Oryctolagus cuniculus: one gene and its partners. The protein of the gene in region 1 purifies or fractionates together with the protein of each later gene. This does not show direct contact. Links are inferred from orthologs where the notes say so. Each region holds a gene or a part of one and is shown on either strand. Other genes may lie near its edges.

What was found.
Region 2: the proteins of ITSN1 (region 1) and EPS15 purify together in Homo sapiens (co-immunoprecipitation; 3 studies listed by BioGRID and IntAct, with this or other methods). This does not show direct contact. The link is inferred for Oryctolagus cuniculus from reciprocal best matches to the Homo sapiens genes ITSN1 and EPS15.
Region 3: the proteins of ITSN1 (region 1) and EPS15L1 purify together in Homo sapiens (affinity purification with mass spectrometry; 4 studies listed by BioGRID and IntAct, with this or other methods). This does not show direct contact. The link is inferred for Oryctolagus cuniculus from reciprocal best matches to the Homo sapiens genes ITSN1 and EPS15L1.

What each region holds. Positions count from the first base shown.
Region 1 is NC_091435.1:11,143,040-11,146,681, forward strand, and holds part of ITSN1 (intersectin-1), read right to left. Parts: intron 3,599-3,642; coding exon 3,516-3,598; intron 3,285-3,515; coding exon 3,201-3,284; intron 2,895-3,200; coding exon 2,721-2,894; intron 707-2,720; coding exon 558-706; 3' UTR 1-557. UniProt on the Homo sapiens protein: Adapter protein that provides a link between the endocytic membrane traffic and the actin assembly machinery. Acts as a guanine nucleotide exchange factor (GEF) for CDC42, and thereby stimulates actin nucleation mediated by WASL and the ARP2/3 complex.
Region 2 is NC_091438.1:121,418,477-121,422,560, forward strand, and holds the start of EPS15 (epidermal growth factor receptor substrate 15), read left to right. Parts: upstream 1-1,209; 5' UTR 1,210-1,311; coding exon 1,312-1,344; intron 1,345-2,941; exon of another isoform or gene 2,942-3,006; intron 3,007-4,084. UniProt on the Homo sapiens protein: Involved in cell growth regulation. May be involved in the regulation of mitogenic signals and control of cell proliferation. Involved in the internalization of ligand-inducible receptors of the receptor tyrosine kinase (RTK) type, in particular EGFR.
Region 3 is NC_091447.1:64,836,376-64,840,017, forward strand, and holds part of EPS15L1 (epidermal growth factor receptor substrate 15-like 1), read right to left. Parts: intron 1,527-3,642; coding exon 1,401-1,526; intron 1-1,400.

The DNA of each region.
Region 1 (3,642 bases):
TCTCCCATGGGTGGGTCAGCTCCCGTGAGACCATCATAGCATCTCCCTGGTGGGCAATGGGATTTCAAAGCAATGACAGGACCATCACGATTGTTTCTAAACATCCGGGGACTGGGCATTGCAGGCCAAGGAGTCTACTGGGGGCAGCAGGAAGGTAAGAAATAAGAGGATTACATGAGTTCTCAAAAAAAAAAAAAAAAAATACAGACACCGCATGTAGAAATCTGATTTCTAATCATCAGACCCGGGCCCAGAGCCTGGGCGGAGCCAGACTCCCAGCTGAGGTTAGCTGGGGGCTCTGGGAGTTCAGAGACCCTAGAAACCATGATGACACCTGCGGTGAGGGGCAAGGAAGACACAGTCTCGTTTCATAACAGGAGAGGTTGTTTGGGGTGGGGGCAGGATTGTCAAGGATTCCTAGACGCTCTGGGGGCCTGTCTTTGCTGTCCCATTGCCCTGTGGCTGAACGCCAGGGATGCCGAGCGAAGGAACACAAATGCCAGACAGCACCTGCTGCCTCAGGTGGGAGCTCCTCCGAGCACGTGCTGAGCCGCTCCCTACGGCTCATCAAACAACTGTAAGTCCAAGCGGACCACAATCTCTCCTGTGGGGACTTCGTGCAGCAGGAGACACTTTGTAACTGGCCCCTTGGAGCCCTGGTCTTTCTTGATGTCAGCCACACGGATCTCTGTTCGACCCAAGAAATCTGAAAGGAGACAAACACACCGTGCTCACAAGAATCCCTTCTCCTCCAGGCGCGCACCCGCCATCGCAGTCTCCTCGAGAGAAGCTATGCCTTCCTTCCGCTCTGAGCGCTAGGTAGGCCCAACACTGGGGTCTCCACCTTATTCCCTGCGATGTGTCATTATTTTTAATATAACAGCAGCAAACAAAAAGCTTCCACTTAACAGAATAAAGAGCCCTGGGGCCAGCGCTGTGGCAAAGCAGGTAAAGCCACCGCCTGCAGTGCCGGCATCCCAAATGGGCACAAGTTCAAGTCCTGGCTGCTCCTCTTCTGATCTCTGCTATGGCCTGGGAAAGCAGTAGAAGATGGGCCAAGTCCTTGGGCCCCTGCCCCTGTGTGCGAGACCCAGAGAAGCTCCTGGTTCCTGGTTTCAGATCGGTGCAGCTCCGGCTGTTGCAGCCAATTGGGGAGTGAACCAGCGGATGGAAGACCTCTCTCTCTCTCTGCCTCTCCTTCTCTCTGTGTGTAACTCTGACTTTCAAATAAATAAATAAATCTTAAAAAAAAAAAAAAGTTAAGAGCCTTGACTTGGGAGGCAGAGAGTTCTGGCCACATGATTAATATTTAACCAGCTCTGTGACTATCTTTAGGCCAAAACCAACAGCACCTAACTCACAATGAGCTAATTCACACAAGGTAGTAGGAGAGGAAGGCTGCATGGAGCCCTTTAAATCTTGAGGGGGTAACACTGCCCTAAAGCCCTCACTCTTTTTTTTTTTTTTTTTTTTTTTTTTGACAGGCAGAGTTAGACAGTGAGAGAAACACAGAGAGACAGAGAGAAAGGTCTTACTCCGTTGGTTCACCCACCAAGTGGCCAGCGCACTGCACCCATCTGAAGCCAGGAGCCAGGTGCTTCTCCTGGTCTCCCATGCGGGTGCAGGGCCCAAGGACTTGGGCCATCCTCCACTGCCCTCCCGGGCCACAGCAGAGAGCTGGACAGGAAGAGGGGCAACCGGGACAGAACCTGACGCCCCAACCAGGACTAGAACCCGGTGTGCCGGCGCCGCAGGCAGAGGATTAGCCTAGTGAGCCGCGGCGCCAGCCAAGCCCTCACTCTCGTTACTTGTATTTCTTCACAGTCAAGTTGAGGCCATAATCTTTAAGCTTAATCTCTAATTTCTATGGGGTTGAGGCAGAGAGCGACAGTTTCTTAGAATCTCTGGTCAGAGACCATTGTAAAGCAGGCACAGACGCTGGCTAAAAGAATGATGCAACCAACACAATTTTGCTCAAGCAACCCCTTGCCCAAGCAGCCGTGCCTTCCAAAAGGGCACAGATTGCTTCTACTGCCATGGTCATGGGCTCTTCTGCTCCATTAGCATTGGCCAGTTTTAAAATAATAAAAATTAAATATTCTTATTTTATTTGAAATGCATGGAGACACAGAGAGTCAGCCAGAAAGAGAGACAGAGAGAGAGAGCGAGCTTCCACCCACTAGTTCACTCCCCAAATGCCTGCAGCAGCCAGGGCTAAGCCAGCAGCTCCATCTGGGTCTCTCACATGGGTGGCAGGGACCCAAGTCCTTGAGCCACCCTCTGCCGCCTCTCAGGTTGCATAGTGGCAAGAAGACGGATCAGAAGTAGAGGAGCTGGGCCTTGAACCAGGCACTCCAGTATGGGACGTGGGTGTCCCAAGTGACATCACCACCACAGCGCCAAGTGCCAGCCGCTCCGTATCAGCGTGGCTTTGTGCCAGGGATGACAGAACTACACTGAAACTCCTAGGTACACCCCTGTTGGCAGCTACCTGCTCTGGACAGCCCAAGACTGTGACGCAAATCCAAGACAAGGACACTGTGTCTGTGCACCGGGCTGCACCTGCTGTGCATGAAAGCCTTATCTTGGGCCAGCCTCATCATTTGAGAGAGAAATCCAAGCCACTCTGGGCATCGCATCCCCAGGAGAGGAGGCGTCCGCCCGCACAGGCTGAGTGATGGGGAAGGAGCAGCGAGCTATGAGGCACGCCCGCGACTCACCATCGGGTGAGAACTGGTCCCTCTCGAACACGGTGATGCACAGGACTTCCTGCTCCAGGTCTCTGATGAAGAACTGGCAGTTGGAATTCCACTTGGGGTTCAGGGTGTCCTGGATCGTCTTGGTGATGTGGCACTGGGAGCCCATGGTCACCTCGCAGTAGGGGTTGCTCTTTCCTGGAAGGCACAAAACCCTTCACCAGGGCGGGAGCCACAACTCATCCCGCTCCATCACCACGCGGCCTACGTGGCCTCACATGGAGAAGCTGGGCGAAAACACACAATTCAGCACCACGCTTCAGACAGGGAACCGACCAGGGCATCCATGGGCTTACGAACCAGAGCCCTCCCAGGCAGGCTCCGAGTGTGCCACAGCCACTGGGTGTGAATGCAGCCACGCGGACCTTCCCGGACAGCAGAGCGAACAGCTCCAGGGAAGACTGCAACAGCCGCATGGGCCACCGGGGCCGCGCAGGTCCTCACCGTGTGACCGGCAGGGCTTCAGCTCAATGCCCTCTACCACGTTCACCATCAGCCTTCCAATGCCCGTTGCCCTCTGGGACCGCACTGGAACAGCAGAGGGAAAAACATAGCACAGATGCACAGATGCTTCACCCTTAGCCTGGACACCTGCCCCGCCCTCCACCCGTGCTCCAGCATCCCAGCCTGCACCCTGTGCCCAGCCATCTCACGACCTCCCCGCTGCCCCCAGGAGCCTGTCCCAGCTCTAAGGGATCTGAGCCTGGCCAAACGGCTGCCCCACGGCAGCGTGGCCAGAGCCCGGCCCGCGGGAGTTACCCAGGTAAGCCTTCTCCCGCTTCTTCTTCTCCGTCTCTATGTAGAGTTCAGAGGCAGCTTTGATCTTCTGCACCCAGGCGGTCCTTGAGCGGGAAAAGACACAAAGTTGCCAAACAACACAGGAAGG
Region 2 (4,084 bases), on another chromosome or scaffold:
ATAAGTGTACATAGGATGTGTTATGTTTAAACTAGGTAGAACTAAGGCCTTCACTGATCACTTACTACAATGCTATGATCTAAGGATGTAGAAATATATAAAAAAAGTCTTTGCCATTAAGGAGTTCTTAATTGAGAGGGGTAGGCAGGTATAAATACTCATTAGGGTGATGATGGCTTCATCAGGTAAAGAAGGAAGTTTAAAAAGGAGAGAGGGAGAGAGAGAGAGATGAATGTTGGGCCTGTTAGTTAAGCTGTTGATTAGGATACCTAATGCCACATGAAAGTGCCTGGGTTCAATTCCTGGCTTCTGATTCCAGCTTCCTGCTAATACAAACACTGGGATGTGATGGCTTAAGTAGTTGGTTATCTGCCACCCATATGGAAGTCCTGGATTGAGTTCCTGGCATCCCCAATCCCTACTTTGCAGGCCTTTGGAGAGTGAGCCAGCAGATCAGAGCGCTCTCTCTCTCTCTCTCTGCCTCTCAAGTAAATAAAAATTTTAAAAAATTAAATAAAAAAGGAGAGAGAAGGGACTTTGCAAAGGAGGCAATACTTGAGTGTGTCCTGGGAAAGGAGGAGGAGTTTGCCAGGTGGACTACGTACTGGAGCCGTGAGCAGTGCTGCAGGCACCTGAGCAATCCAAGTGTGACAGGCAGCAGGCTAGGAAAGCCCTCCTTTACCTAAGTAAACTTTGGCTCCGGAGGGAACGATTTTTTTTTTTCAATATAATGGCAGATGCTTAAACCAAAGAAGGCAGAAATCTAATCAGCTGCACGACCTCCTGGCAGGCACTGATGTGTGTTTTAGTTCACTCATTCATATAATTCAAAAATAAAGCATCTAGTACAGGGCCTGGCATATACAAAGTGCTATTATTTTGTATCTTTACCTCATTTCGTCCTCACAGGCAGCCCGGACCGCGGGTAATTTCTGCCATGATTCAAAAGCAGGAGCTCAGAGCGGGTAGGTGACCGGCCTGAGGGTCACAGGACAATCTGGATTCCCCTTCGCAGCCCGTCCGCTTTAATTTATCCGCGCCGGGTTTTCTCAGGCCGGCCCGGGGGCAGGCCGGCTCTGGTCCGGCGGCTCGCACTCCAGCGCCAGGGTTTGGGCGCCGCCGCGGCCTGCTCGGGCCGGCGGGCCGGCGGGCGGGGCCAGGCGGGGCGGGGCGGGCGTGAGGAGGGAAGTTGTCGAAGTTAGGGGAGACGCCCGCCCGGGCCTCGCCTACGGCCGCTCCCTCCGCCTCCTCCCCGCCCCGAGCCCCCGGCCGCCCGTCCTTCCTTCCCCTCCCGTGCATGATGGAAACACCATGGCTGCGGCAGCCCAGCTCTCCCTGACACAGGTAACGCCGCCCGCCCGCCTGTCCTCCGGGCTCGGCCGGCCGGTGTCCCCGGCCCCCTCCCCCACCGCCCTGCGCTGGGCCGACCCGGGCAGCGTCTCTCGGCTCTCGGGCCGGACGGCCGGTGTGTCAGAGCGAGAGCGTGCGTGTGACTGAGGGAGGACGCCATCCCGAGCCGGAGCTCCGCCGGCTGCAGCCGCGGCCCCGCCCCGGGTCGGTCGGCGCCCCCGGCCCCACCCGGTGCGGCCGCTGAGTGGACGGTGCCCCCAGCCGCGCTCAGCCGGCGCGGGCCTCGCTCGCTCCGCTCGGCTTTCCCCCACCCGGAAAGTTTCCTCCTCCCAGGCCAGGTGAGCTCCTGTGGAGCTCGCGCGGGGCAGCGCCAGCCCCGGGTCGCACGAGGCTCGCCCTCTGGGCCGGGCGGCGCGCCTCCCCGAGTTGGGGGGGGGGCCTTCCGCGGCCGGACGCTCAGCCTGTTCAGGGGCAGGCTCCCCTCGCTAACCTGCCTTTCCCCACCGGAGTTCAGCGAAAGCCCTCCTTTGCCTGGCACTTTCCTGCACTCGGCTTCGCTTTCAAACTCTTCTTAGCCTCCCTCTCAGCTTTGCTCGCTCTCTTCCTGGATTCAGCCTCTTCCCTCCTGATCTGGTGTCCTGGGTCAGACCCCCGACTCCGTCGTTCCCTACCCAAGCCGGCTTCCACTCACACCCGGGGGTTCTCCTGATCGCTGTCCGAGCGGATAACAGGGAGCCACCCAGTAACAGGTGTGGTGGTTCCGCCTGGCGGGGTGCTCAGACCTGCCTGGGAGATCACTTGTCCTGGGCGGAAATTTTCACCAAAACCTGTACTCTGGTCGTTCCTCTTGCCTTCTTGCTGCCTTCGGAGCCCAGTCCTTGTGCTTCACAGAAAATCTGAACATCATTCACCGTGGGAACCTAGTTTCTCCCTCTCTGTAAAGGAAGCCAATTATTATCTTCCTGTTGTGGCCAGAATGACGAGGTGACAGACACCTGTCAGTCCCTTCCTGCTCCTCTGTTCAAAACTGGCCCGGATCTCACCTCTGCCTGTTCTCTCCAGAGCTGGTAGCTGTGTGCTTGCCAGCAGGGCCCACCCCAGCCTTCCTGCCATCTTGCAGTCTCCTGGGCCTAGGTTTGTCTATGCATCACAGGCTTTAACACTGGGGTGAAGGTACATTTGGACAGTAAAGTTTTCTGTATTGGGATCCGGAGGCTTGGGGTGTTCTCCTTAGCACTCCCCAGAACCTGCAGTCAAACGTGAGTGTGTGAAGTAACTAACTTTAGCTTGCAGGAATTCTAGGTCTCATAAGTGACACTCATTGCCGACTTCTATCAGATGTTGGTTATTCTGTTTCTGCAGGTGATAACAGGGCAGACTTCTTTTACCACGGAGTGTGGTGGTTTAATCTTGAATCTCTGTGGGAGGGTCCTCCTGAAACTCAAATTCGAGGCCTGGAAACACTGACTTGGGGTGTTGACTTTCTGTGAGTCTAGTTAGTGACTTGCATTAAACAAGATCCCTTGTTGGCAAGCTGTTTTTTTTGTGACCGAGTTGGCCAATTCTGGCAAGGCTTTTTCTCCTCTTGCAGATTTTCTTCTTTGAGCAACTTCTGTAAAGTGGCTTCTCAGCTGTGTGCATTTATTCTCTCCCTGGGTAATACTGTGTTTTTAGTTTCTGTTTACTATGGTTCATCTCTAGGGGTTTGCTTCAAGCTCTGTCATTTTTATAGTCACTTAAATAAATCACATATGTTCTTATGGCTATATATTTAGGTATTTACTTGTGCACTGACTAAATACTGAATCAGTAATTACCCTTCAAGGTTTTACAAATGAGAGAACATATATTGGTGGCTGACATTGATAACTCAAATGTCAATTTAGAATGTTTTGATTTTTTAGATACTAAGATAGTATATTATAGAAGCAAAGGAAAGAAGAACCTAATTTGTTACTATTTCTCAATATGCCTCATTATTTCAAAGCTTGGCAGATATATAGTTTTTAAGTTTAAAAAATTAAATTAATTTTAGTGCTTTTTTTTAACTTTTTTTTTTTGAACTCAGTAACAGAGATATCAGTGTGACCTCGTTTTGCATTCATAATTGATTTGTTTTACATCACCCTCTGTTTCAACTCACATACTTAGATATAGGCATAGTCAAGTGAGAGAGCTTTCAGGGAAGGGACATTTTAAAATTCATCTGAGTGCCTACCTGGAAGAAAGCCATTAATATAGCTATTGTATGAGTGACTGAAAATTAGGAAGATTAAACAGATAATGAAGTTAGTTTTTGTCTCTGGTCATGAGATAGTGATGGCTTTGGAGTAGGTTAATTCATTCAACAAATATATATTTAAATTATCTTCTTTTTACTATTTCTTGAGAGACGCAGAGCTCTCACCTGCTGGTTCATTCCCCCAAGTGCCCACAACAGCCAGGGCTGGACTGAACCAAAGCGGGATCCAGGAACCCAATCCGAGTCTCCCACTTTGGGTCCCAGAGAGCAACCACTTAAGTCATCACCATGGGGAGGCCAGGAGCCACACTAGTGAGAGGCTGGAGTCAAGAGCTGGAGCTGGGTATTGAACCCAGGGACACTGATACGGGATGTAGGTGTCTTAACTGCTAGGCTAAATACTTGTCTCAACAAATATTTTTCTTTATTTTTCTTAATATTTTATTTATTTGAAAAAGTTACAGAGAAGCAGAGGCAGAGAGAGAGACAGGT
Region 3 (3,642 bases), on another chromosome or scaffold:
TTTTAAAGGAAATGTGCGAAATTCTTTCTAAACTTGCCACAGAGTTAAAAAATTCTTCTACCTTGAGCTGTATAGGCAGAAAAGAAAAAGTAGTTAAAACTAGGAAAAAAGGGGTCGTGGCTCACTTGGTTAATCCTCCGCCTGCGGTGCCAGCACCCTATATGGGCACCGGGTTCTAGTCCCGGTTTGCTCCTCTTCCAGTCCAGCTCTCTGCTGTGGCCTGGGAAGGCAGTGGATGCTGGCCCAAGTATTTGGGCCCCTGCACCCACATGGGAGACCAGGAAGAAGCACGTGGCTCCTGGCTTCAGATCGGCGCAGCGCCGGCCGTAGCGGCCATTTGGGGAGTGAACCAATGGAAGGAAGACCTTTCTCTCTGTCTCTCTCGCTGTCTATAACTCTACCTGTCAAATAAATAAAGGGGGGGGGGCAGCACTGTGGCACAGCACTTAAAGCTGCCTCCTGCAGCGCTGGCATCCCATATGGTGTCCATTTGAGTCCCAGCGGCTCCACTTCCAATCCAGCTCTCTGCTGTGGCCTGGGAAAGCAGCAGAAAATGGCCCAGGTCCTTGGGCTCCTGCACATGCGTCAGAAACCCGGAAGAAGCTCCTGGCTCCTGGCTTCGGATCAGCGCAGTTCCAGCCACTGCAGCCATCTGGGGAGTGAACCAATGGATGGAAGACCTCTCTCTCTGTGTCTACCTCTGTCTCTCAAATAAATTAGTTAATTTAAAAAAATAGGAAAGATTGTGGGCATTCCACATCTGAGTGCCAGAGACTGAGGTCCGGGATCTTCCATTACCAACCCAGCTCCCTGCTAATGTGCTCGAGAGACAGCAGACATTGGCCCAAGTACTTGGGTTCCTGCCACACACATGGGAGACAGGGGTGGAGCTCCTGGCTCCTGGCTTCAGCCTGTCTCAGCTCTGGCTGTTGCAGACATTTGGGGAGTGAACTGGCAAGGCAGAAGATCTCTCCCTCAATCTCGGTCACTCTGCCTCTCAAGTTTAAAAAAGAAAAGAAAAGGAAAAAAAGAGCAGGAAAGAAAAGAAAAAGGATTGAAGACACAGAACTCCCACGCTGAGCACAATGGAGGGGCCGCTGGTCTGGGCTCCGGGCCCAGCTCTGCTCACCCCGGGACTCCACCGCGGTTTCAATTCTGAGCCTGCCTCCCCACCTGTGAAGTGGGCGTGCTCCTGTGCCTTCCCCCGGGACTGGACCTCATGTGGCCCTGGGCCAGCCTGGCTGTAGCAAGTGCTGGATCCCCCTGCACTCAGGAAGCCCTAGGGGCTCCAGGCTGGGCACCAAGCCAGGGCCTGGAGAGTGTCCTTGGGGAGGGAGAACAGTGATGACCCGGCATGGCGGTGGAGCAGACATGAAGGCACGGACCCCACGGCCACCTACCCTGCCCAGGACGTCAAGAGGTAGCTTAGAGTTCATGAGGACTGGCTTGACCTTGTCTCCAGAGAGCAAACCATTGATAGGTAAGAGGCTTTCAAAAATTCCATCAAACTTGGCCTTTTCTTCCACCTGGTTGGACAGAAAGAGCCAGCGTGAGTACAGGTGTGCCAGTACACAGGTCCATGTGCAGCCCTGACCCAAAGCTGAGAAAGCAGCCCGGCACCGGCCCTGGCCCGCGGCCACAGCACACGGTGCTCTTAGAGCAGTCTGGGCCCTTGGGCTCCAGAGTGAACTCTGACCTTGAAGGAAACAGCCCTCAGACAACCTCAGAGGAGCAGGAGCAGGAGCTGGCCCAGGCCTGCTGAGTGCGCTGGGGCCTCCCTGGGGGGAGGGGAGCTATCTTTCCAGGGAGACCACCTCCAAAGAGCTCACCACAATAAGAAAGACAAAAGCAGATAATTATCAAAGCCAACTGCAGGAGGCCCCCTGCCTCTAAGAGTAAAATCATAACAATCAAAGGGACATACAGACTGAAACAGCAGCTGCAGGGAGTGCATGGGCTGCTGGCCACAAGGGCCTGGGAGCAGACACCAGTGTACCCTCGGATGGAAGTGAGGCCCTGGGCAGGTGGACTGAGGGAGAGCAGAGAGCGCGGCAGACACTGGCCGCTGGCGGTGCTGAGAAAACCCCTACAATCGCCAAGGCTAAGGTCAAGTGTAGAAAACCCCTACAGTGAGCATCCAGCTGGCGAGCACGGAAATACAGCGCGGCCCACCCCCACTCTGGAAGGTTCTACAGACCTGCCACGATGTGGATGAACCTCAGGGGCAATGTGCTCAATCAACTCAGCTGGTCACAAGAGGCCAAATACAGGAGGACCCACTTCCTGAGACCCCCACGGTGGTCACACCCACAAAGACACAAGCAGAACAGGGGCGCGGGGGTAGAGGTGAGTGGGAGTGAGCATTTCATGGGTGCAGAGTTTCACCTGTGCAAGGTGAGAAGTTTCTGGAAAGGGATGGGGGGGTTGTACAAAAAGGCGGCGCTGACGGTTAACAGGCAGCCCTCTCGGAATGCCTGCGCTGGGGTCTGACTCCACGCTCATTCCAGCTCCCTGCTAATCTGTACCCCGGGGTACAGCAGGTGACGGCTCAAGGACTTGGGTCCCTGCACCTCTGTGGGAGACCCAGATGGAGCTCCTGGCTCCTGGCCTCAACCTGGCCCAGCCCTAGCAGGGGAAAAAGGTCTCCCTCTCTCTGCTTCTTTGCCTTTCAAATCAACAAAATTAATTTCTAAAAATTTTCTTAAAGGATTGAGAAGGTACATTTCATGTTATAAATATCTAACCAGAACTAAAACATTTTCAAGGAGAGAGAGTAAAAAAAAGAAAAAACAACAGAAACAAGAGCATGGGGGGGTGCCGGGCTCCCCCCACCCACCCGACGTGCTGACTCAGCGCTCCGAGCAGCCCAGGAATGCTGGCCGCAGAGGCCGGCGCCTGGCAGCTAGGCTGCTTTCTGCACGGCCTTCATGGGTGAGCGGAATGCCAACGCTTTCTCCCAACAGCACCCCCACTGCCCAGCCGGGGTCCCCGGCTCATCTCTGCAAGGCCTCAAAGCCCCTGCCAGGAAAGGACCGGACGCCTGCAGGAGCAGGATCTGGCAAAAGGCGTTCTGCAGAGTCCACACTGCGAGGCTGGACCACCGCGAGAGGAAGCCACGCGGCAGTGTGGTGGTCACCGCTGGCCCAGGGCCTGCACGGAGGCTGCTCATGACGCCTCGGCCCCAGGAAACCAAACTCTCTTCCCACCCCCTCCCTGCACAGATGTCACCACCACCCACCCCACGGGCTTTCTGAGGTGAGAACCAAGGGCCTGGGGGAGAGGGGGAGGTGCCTCTGTATTTCACAACCACAGCGAAGCCCAACAGGCACCAGGGCCTGCGCCGGCCCCTGAACACGAGGGGCGGGGCGAGGGGCTCGTCCCTCCAGGATAGCTCTGCACTTTCCAGCAGACGCTGCTCTTCTCGTTCTAGAAGAGGAACCCGACTGCAGCCACACAAACAAGAACGGATGCACCGCGAAGCTTTCCACAAAGCACACAGCGCCAGGAAGGAAGGCCCAAGAACGTGGGAGTGGGGCTGGGGAGGGGCTAGGCCCTCATGTTTGATTAACCAGCACCAGCACAAAACCACAAGCGAGACCCAGACCACAGCGTTCGGAGAAGCCCACTCCTGAAACCGGGCCG